Arabidopsis thaliana: one gene and its partner. The protein of the gene in region 1 purifies or fractionates together with the protein of each later gene. This does not show direct contact. Each region holds a gene or a part of one and is shown on either strand. Other genes may lie near its edges.

Evidence for each region. The genes of interacting proteins can lie anywhere in the genome.
Region 2: the proteins of CYCD7;1 (region 1) and AT5G40460 purify together in Arabidopsis thaliana (affinity purification with mass spectrometry, with the first as the bait; one large-scale study listed by BioGRID). This does not show direct contact.

Annotation. Positions count from the first base shown.
Region 1 is NC_003076.8:415,287-420,238, reverse strand, and holds CYCD7;1 (CYCLIN D7;1), read right to left. Parts: upstream 3,323-4,952; 5' UTR 3,153-3,322; coding exon 2,892-3,152; intron 2,640-2,891; coding exon 2,553-2,639; intron 2,460-2,552; coding exon 2,165-2,459; intron 2,069-2,164; coding exon 1,686-2,068; 3' UTR 1,573-1,685; downstream 1-1,572. Other genes in the region: NDP1 (Tetratricopeptide repeat (TPR)-like superfamily protein), read left to right, coding at 47-101, 184-228, 314-492; OHP (one helix protein), read right to left, coding at 606-674, 760-882, 955-1,095; UNE18 (Oxysterol-binding family protein), read right to left, coding at 4,223-4,460, 4,561-4,739, 4,819-4,952.
Region 2 is NC_003076.8:16,200,074-16,204,508, reverse strand, and holds AT5G40460 (cyclin-dependent kinase inhibitor SMR3-like protein), read right to left. Parts: upstream 2,368-4,435; 5' UTR 2,045-2,367; coding exon 1,706-2,044; 3' UTR 1,151-1,705; downstream 1-1,150.

The sequences.
Region 1 (4,952 bases):
AACATTGGAGTTTCGTCATCTTACCCCTGTTTCTTTTTCATCTCAGGGCCTCTACAGAAAAGCATTGGAGCTCATGAAAGCACCTCCACTGGATTCAAAAGGTACTTACAGACATCTATCTACTTTGCAGGTTATTGAGATAAACAACGATTGTCCTCAACAACTTCTTTCTGCATTCTTTAGGGATAATAAACATGGAAAATCAAGAAGTAATAGCTTTAGCAAGAGGTAAGCTTAAGCTCGTTTGCTTGCAAACAGAAACGATTGCCATGGTTAGCTTATAATAAGCGTATTCGATTTTTCGATTGTGCAGCCGGGTATGCGGAGTTACTACTGATTCAAGAGAACAGAAAAAGCGAAGGAGAGAAAATGAAATCATGGGCCGAATCAGCGTGGAGAAACAAACGCATTTCTCTATCAGAAGCATTGACTCTCTCAGAGCCGTTAGGTAAAGTAGCAATCATAGATGCTCGCACCACTCGTGTACTCTAAAAGAATCTCAAACTTTTACAACAAATGTCACGTTTTGATGTGTAATTAAACTTGAGAATTTTACATTTCATAAGAGATGTTTTTGTTGGAAAGAACACAAACAGTGATATACATTATAGAGGAAGATCGAGTCCTTTCCCAATCTCTACACCGATCAGTTCAAGTATTCCCTTGTTCAGAATCTGGAAAACGTATATTTCAGTTTGGTTTCGTTGTATGTTAGATTAAATCAATTCTTGCAAAAAGAAACCATCTAGTAACCCTCACCAGTTCGACGATGAAAGTACCGATGAGACCAATCATGCAAGCTCGTGAGTTCCATATCTCAGCTGTTTGTGTGAATCCCAGAAACGCAGGTTGAGATTTGGGTTGTGCTTTTGGCACTATCACCTGCGAAAAACACGATTTAACTACCATTGAAGATAGACATTTGAATATTTGAAAAAATGTTCCAAACGTTACCCCTTCAGGAAGTTTTGCGGCTCTGACAACGAAAGGTTGTTGCTTCCGATTGAAACAGAGGTTCTGTCTCCGACCATGGCAATGAGTCGACAAGGTCGACAGAGGATGAAAGAGAGATGAAGATAACGGCGACGAGCTCATTATTTTCCTTTGTAGAGTGAATTAACGAAAACTACTTGATATGAACAATCTTTATCTTCAGAAATCACTTCAGGATTTAGCTTGTGGCTACACTGCTCTCTTTCTCCGATCCATTCATATTTCGCCACGTGTTATATCCTGCAACACATTTTTCCTTTTTTTGCTAGAATTTTCTGACAGTAAAACAAAATCATGGCCTCACCAACAAAAAAAAAATTATGGGGTAATATTTAATGTAATTATAAACTCATTTATATTTTTTTGTCGTCAAAAATAAATTAAAAAATATATATATATATATATATGTATATATAATGAATGTATTCATGATTACATTAAATAATATTCCATGATTTTATTTAATTATTATAAAATGATATGTATATATTTATCAGATTACAATTAGAGTTTTTTTGTTGTTATAGATTTGATTGTTTTATCTGTAAAATAAAATATGAGTAGTTTTTTTTTAACTTTTATTAATCAATACATTATTCTGTAGTATATATTACAATTGAGTCAAGGTATGTGTAAAAACAATTAAAAAACAAACAAACATTTCTCTCTTTGTAGGCTTCTTTCATAAAATGCTAAATGTAATTTGACATTTCAATTGTCATTCTTTTTGCCGGACGAATGTTGTCTTGGTGGTTTCCTCTATCCCTCTTCTTCTTTTCGTATCGGAAAATCTGAAAGATTTTAGAGAGATCTTCAACGTTATAATCCCCATTCATATTCATCACATCGCCTCGCTGCAACAGACTCAGAATACTCCTCCCTTCACTGTATCTTCTTCTCGACGACTGATGATCAATGTCTCGATTTTTCATCCCATCAACACATTTCACGATTTTTTCCTTATGATTTTGTTCAAAGAGATTCATGATACTTTCTCGACACACCTTGTCTTCCATGAGAATCCATATAGCAGCAGTGGCCACAACGCTTGGTGGGTATTGAAGCATTTTTAAATCTGCATGCATCAAGAATAACATTCCATATCAGTTCCCGTTTCACGTCAATCTTACATTTATAACAAGAAACATTTTATATGTAGATCAAATTTTACCGCATATAACATCAAGCAGATGATTTGTAATTCGATTCATGATCATATGATCCCCAACCATACCGATCTTCGACACAAGGGTTTGCGAAAAAGTATAACTCGTAACCGCGTTCACACGCCATTCGAGAGCTTTCAAAATTATGAGTTCCATCTGAGCAACTGTATTAACGTGAAACATATGAGTTAAACCTTCCATTTCAAGTTCTTCGAGTAATGGAGTGGTAACTTCATTGAACTTTGATGCGATCGATAATGAAGTTACCGCAACTAGTTCCACCATCCAATTCGTCCATTCCTGCATTTATTTATAATGAACATGTCATTAATTCAACCGCAATTATAAAGTTTTTATCACATTAAGTAATTGTGTTTGCTTATGTATACTTACGTCACAGCAAGTCATGTAGACGAACCGATCAAAACAATTAGCGGCGGAAAATACCGTTTCATATGAAAGATTTAGCCGACTCCGAGTCTGAGAAAGTAAAACCAAAAATTAACTTTTGGTTTATAAAACAATATGATGTTAAAAAATAAAAATAATACATACCAAATATTTTTATAATATCGATAATTAATTTTGATGCAAAAAACTTTTTCGTAAACCCAAATTTTAAAGGCTATCTTGAAAGATTTTATAGGTTGTTATAAGTATCTACAAATTTTTGCGGTTTACTATCAAATATCACACATAGGACAAACAAAGAGATAATAATAATTAAGGTACCTGGATTAGCCATTGAAACGCATGGAACCTATAATCGGTTAACTTCTTTGAGACGAAAAACTCAACAAACTTGTCTCCATGATTGTTAAAACATAATTCTTTCTCTAAGTCCATAGCAATGGCTTCCTCCATCGTCGCTGCGTCTATCTCTGGATACATCTTCACGACGTCATTGTCGTGAGAACGGTGACGGAAGTTTGGTAAAGGCTCCGGGGTTAAAGGACTCGCGGGCCAAGATTCTTCGCAGAGTAGATTATCCATTTGGAAACTGAACCGGTTTGATTAAACCGGTAATAAGGTATTCTACTCCTCACTCTCGGAACAGTGTTATGAGATCAGAGAAAAAGTGACGTATATATATGCGAGCGAGCGAGAGAGAGAGAGTGGTGGAGAAGAAAATGGGAAGTTATGGAAGACAGTTAAAAGTTAAAAAAATACGTCGGTTCAATCAGAAGAAGATGCGTCGGTTTAGTATACCATATAAACTTTAGTTTAGACATATTTAACGAACTAATTCGAAAGAAACCCTAACATAATTAGATGTTTTCTTTACGATATATTTGTGTTCACTTAATGACTTTAAATAATACGATAAGAAAAATCATAGTTATGAGTGTGTGTGTGTATTCAATATTCATGATAAAGTGTTGAAAGAAAATATGGAAGCGAGGATTTAGTTGCGAAGGGATATAATAAGAAGACGTCGTCCCACATGAAACGCGGTAAATGCATTCTACCCAATCTTCATAGAAATTTCATGTTACAAAAAAACGTTTTAAAAAATAAATGTTGCAGTTGTTTTTAATTTTAACCAACCTCGTGAGTCCACGACCTTTTGCGTAATTACCTCATCCACCCATGACAGCCAATAAATTACTAACTTTTGTTTTTTTGGTTTATCTTCTGTTTTTGGCACCAACTTCCTATTTTTGTTACCAAACCAAGAGATTTTACTTTCGATGTTCTTGTGATTTCATTTTATCTTTACTTCTGCTCCATTCCGTTTATCTATTGACAGAAAGAAAAAGGAAAAAAAAAAACAAAGAAAAGAATCGCTTGCTCGTTTTTATTAGTTGCTTAAGCCCCAAGAAACTTCTCAGTTTCCTTCTACTATAGTTTCTCCTTTAACGACGTCACTTCAATTCATAAAATTGCTTTCAAGACAACTCAGAAAATCAGTAATCAGCTTTAAAGCCTTACAAAGAGAGTAGATTATCAAAATATAGACTCTTTCTTATGGAAAATTACAATGAAACTGGTGATTAATACCAAAAACAAATGAAAGATCTAAGAAAGTAACAACGCATTACACAACAAATGGCACCAAAGGATTAAGCAGAGAGATCTTGGAATTGCCAAGGGTTGAATTGGGTCAACTTCACATCGGTTGTATCCTCAGAGTTTTCAGCTGTGGCGCGGTGCACCGAGTACTTTCCATTGAATTGGTAAACTTCGAGATCACCCCATGGTGTAGGAGTGACTTCTTCTGTTTCATCAAACCATTTTGGAGCAAATTTTTGGCCTTTCTCTTCTCTGCTTTTCTTCTCAGCTCTTTGTCTATCCTCTAGGCTGCAAAACAAAAAAAAACCCGGCTTCTATTAGCCTTTGCATTACTTTGGGATTAGTAGTCTTAGGGAAGCTAACCAAAAGACTATGAGTAGTTAGTAACCTGCTCTTTTCGAATCCAGATTTGGACATATCACCCATCTCCAGCGCGTATCTATCAGGACGTAGACGTGAATCAGATGACAGTAGCTTTTTAGGGGCAGTGTCAAAACTATTGATCTTGTGAGCAAAATGTGTGTATTGGTATTTATCGTTCTTTGGAGCTTCAGCAACCTTCCACACCTGTGGAAGTAACATAATTAGAAAGGTGACTAGATATAGTATGCAGAGGGTTTGCTTAGAGGAGAGAAATTGATAAAACCTCCTTCAGTTCGGTGCCTGGAAGAGGTTCGCCTTCCGCATCACATGGCTGATAACTCAAGGACTCGTTCCATTTTCCGGTCATTAGCATCTTGGGCTCTTCAGCTGAATTATACACGTAACCGTCCACTTCAT
Region 2 (4,435 bases), about 16 Mb from region 1:
GGTTAGGTGTTATCCTGATTAAATCTAGATTTTGAAGGAATTTAATTAAGAGTAAAAATTATCTTTAAGGTTTCACGTTTTAAAAGAGAGCGGTAAATCAAGAGATTTGTGCTTATTTTACGCGTTTGCAAATTTGTTGTAATTTGTTTTATTATTCTACTGAAATTGAATCTAAACTTCTCCCGGAAAGTAGGAAAAACCGAATCTCGTTAACAAAATTCTTGTGTCTTTTCTTCCTTGCAATTTATATTACTTCATCCGCACTTTCAGCTTAGAATTTAATCTTTTAAAGTCTCCTAAAATGGAAGATTCGGCTATCATCAGTTGGGACACTAAAAGCTATTGTTTTGGAATTGCTAACTAGAACAAATTTACAGACTTGTGAAAGGTGAACCTAATCCTCAAACTTGGATTCTCATTTTGAATTGCTAGTACATTCGGCAGGCAATATAATTTTTTCCTGAAAAGAAATGTATTATAGTTCCTAAAGTCATGACAGTGAAATAAACTCGTTCACAAGAATGATCCAAACTCGTCAATCGTCATAGTCTCCTTCTATTCAAATATTTCTCTTGTATTTGGCATTTCAAAAAAAAGAGGAAAAAAACACGAGATTGGTCGTTGTCTCGTAAAGGAACCAAACAAGGCCTTAAGTCCCACATTGGATTCTCCCATCGCACCGCTATTCTCTGAACCCTATTTTGTCCTTTTCATGACTCAATCCACAAGAACACAACTGAGAATTAGTGACTTACTTGCATGCAACACATTTAATCTGCAAATAGTACTATTGGTGCGTAGCATGAGTAATTACTAATCATAATGTCTTATGAGTTTATTTAATTAATTTGTTACAATACAAAGTAGTGGTCAATGAATTAAAGATACTAATGACTTAGTGAGTGTGCAATTGTGCACGCAAAAAGCTCTTTAACCTGAAAAAAGAAAGTATCATATTTGTTGGGATGGCTTTAGAAGTAGAGGCCTCCTTAAAAAAAAGTCATGCATTGAAATTCTTCAGAATCCTTTTAAAGCATATAAAAAACATTACATGTGTGCATTATAAAATTGTTGATTTCTTCTCTTTCCAAATAGTATGATTTACCTCTTTTTATTTGAAATTAAAGATTTTTGTATTAGATCCCACCATATTATTTGTTAATAAAAACTATATTGGCCCACATCTAGAACATTAGATAAAGGAAACAATAATTATGCAAATACATAGTTTAAGTTATTAACCTATAAACGAGTTTTACCAACAACAAAAAAAAAACCTATAAACGTGTATAGTGGATTTGCCCAAAAAAAACGAGTATAGTGGAGAGTCAAAAGCTTGCCGTGTGGACTTGTCACAAATTATTGGTAATTTTATTATTATATTTAGGTAGTTGAGCTAACTGGTAAGATTTGCTCGCGTCACTTCTCCTTTAGTCTCCGTAGGCTTAATCCAAGGCTCTGAGTATAAAATTTTCTACATCAAATTAGTGTTTTTATAAAATCTGGACTGATTATTTGTTGATATATGTATAACCAAAATATTAATGAAACCAAATGTGATGAACAAGGCTAATTTGGAAGATACGCATTATCATAATTAGATTCATTATCATATATTTTTAACTCTAAGTCTAATAACCAAAGTTTTCATGGCCTGTAACTAATATATAACTAGAGAACTATATTAAAAAAAACTCAAATCTCACTAACGGCGACGTAGAAACACCGTCTCTAAATCAGAAGGAGGCGTAAAAAACTCTCTAACGACGTTACTCCGACATTTTAACGCCGGCCGTCGTTTTCTCGGTGCTGGTGGACATTCCAATAACTCCGGTATCTTCGTTTCCTTCGCTGTCGGTGTCGTCGAACACTCTTCCTCTTCGTTGTAGCAATCTTCTTCAACTTCGGTCACTATCTCCGGCGGCGCTCTGAGTTTCGTCTTGACTGGTTTCAACGAAGCCCGAATCGAAATTCCGGCGATAACCCATTTCTTCCCGTCGGATTCTAAACCTCCTTCGAATTGAGATTTCTTCGAAAAACCCATCTCTCTTTAACTAACTCAAAACCAAGATAAATGAAAAAACAGAGTAAACCCAAAAAGAAAACAGAGAGATAAAAACAGAGACTTGTTCCAATTAGAAGAAGAGGAATCGGAATAAAATGAAAGTGGGGAAAAAGATTAAAAATTTGTGGTTGGTCAAATTTTTTGGTCTGAAAGGAAGAATTTTTTTTGTTGTTGAGAAGAATGAGAAAAAACAAATGAGAGGAAATTGAGATAAAGAGAGGGTTTAAATAGTCAAAATAATATTCAGGAGAAAAAAGCTTTGCGAAGAAGATGAAGAAAAAAAGGGATAAAATTGGAAATTTAAAAAGAATAAAAATTTAGGTGCCCGAGAAATTTTACGGGCAGAGTCGCAACCACCGTCTTTTGTTTGGCGCCATAGTTTGAGAGTTTTGGTTCGCAACGGCTCTTTTTCCCGCCTTTATATCCTTTTAGTGATTCCCGATTTTGCCCCCAGTTTACTTTCCCGCGAGGTTTCTTTCTTTAGGTAAGAGAAGAACCGAAGAAGAGAACATCGGTTTGGTTTATTTACCCTCTTTGGTTCTAATCGGTTATCGTTAATTTACATTTTTTTATGGTTTTCTCTGGGTTTAGGTTCAAACTGAAATTAACTCGGTTTAACTTCAGTTCGTCAGTTTGTTGGTCATCAAAACGACGTCGGTTTTGACACACTGAATTTTCCCCATCACTTTAAATATTCATCTGCCTTCTCTCTAATTTTGGTTGATAAGATTATCAACAATCATGGAATCTGCCGAAAACAAAATCTAGTGTGAATCTTGTGGAAAATGAGTTTGGAATTTATATCACTCACGGCTTATTCATCAACATTATTAAACTATATGATATATACAATTCAATAAACAGCAACGTTAGAAAACATCAGTAGCATATCAAGCCATGTCAAAAACTAGCTAACCATGGAGGCAAACAACAATATATTATATATCTATAACTAATCGATCATTAATACAGTTTAAAGTTATGTTCGTAATTAAGGTGTGCCATCATCACGGATTCATGCATGCACTTATATATACATAGAAGCCATTATGTGTACAAATACAATGTCAATATCAAACAAACAATATATATGCAGCTAATTCTAGTCATTAGAAAGATAAGGATAAGAGAGATTGGCGGGTGATTATCAGCATGATGGATTGCTCTCCCTCTGGTTCTAGAGTCGAACATGAAGATTGGAACCCTAGAAATCTTAAATCCGATACGTGCGATATGAAGTATAAGTCAATGTTGCATTGTAGTTATTTTATGATACCAAGAAATTTGAAATTTTAGGTAAATTTTAGTTATTATTCCGGACCATGAGACGAAGAGATACAAATAGATAAAAGGTCCATCCCAATTTCTTTTAGACAAAAAAAAGATGATGTAATCAAATACATCTTTTAGTTAAGGTTTACATTTTACAATTTACAATTTTATAGTTAACTTTGATATATTATATTCTATATTTCTTTATGTAATAAAAGTAATCAATATTCAATTATTAGGCGATAGGATGAATGGACCTTTGAGAGACATGAATGGTGATAGAGACAAGTTGAGGAAGGTCGGGACTAGCTAGGGCTGACATTGTGTCACATAAGCATTAGATTTATTCGCATTCAAAACGTTATGAAAATTAATGTAAAATATGAAGAAGAACAATTTGAAATGTTTTTTAACTAAAATTTGAAATTGAAAGTAACGCATATTATATTGGACCTACAAAAGAGCCGACCCTTATCTATTTTAGTGTGAAAGAAATGCATGGGACCCTCTTAGTCAACCAGCCTTATAAGACCTCTTTGGCCAATTCTATTAGTTACTTATCGAAAGTGTTCAAATTGCCATCGAACCCGAATGTCCAGCAAGACCTTTGACATATCTTATACATAACTCGCCAATTCTCGATCATTTATCATGTAATCTTGTATCCAATTCGGTTGTTCTGATATATGAGGGTTTCTTTTAATACAAAAATGACTCTAACATGTGTTTAATTACGATGATTTGTAAGGTTTCGATTGTTTTTCGAATTAATTACGAATTTTGCTATTCTTCTTATGGCATTTATAGATTTTGCCATCTTTAAATAGTTTTTAAAATTTTATCATTTTTCAGGTATAAAAAAGTGATTTAACTTGTGTTTTACCCATTATGATAAAATTAGTCGGGTTTTTTTTTGGTTTAGTATTTGGTATAAAATACGTGTTTAAAAAAAAAATCGTAAATACGTATATCTTAAATGTTAAAAATGGCAAAATTGTAAAAGTTTAGTAAAATTATCATTTTTAGAAAAAAATCCAAAAAATGGCAAACTGGACAACAATCCCTTCTTCTTCATGTGAAAATTTTACACTTCACATC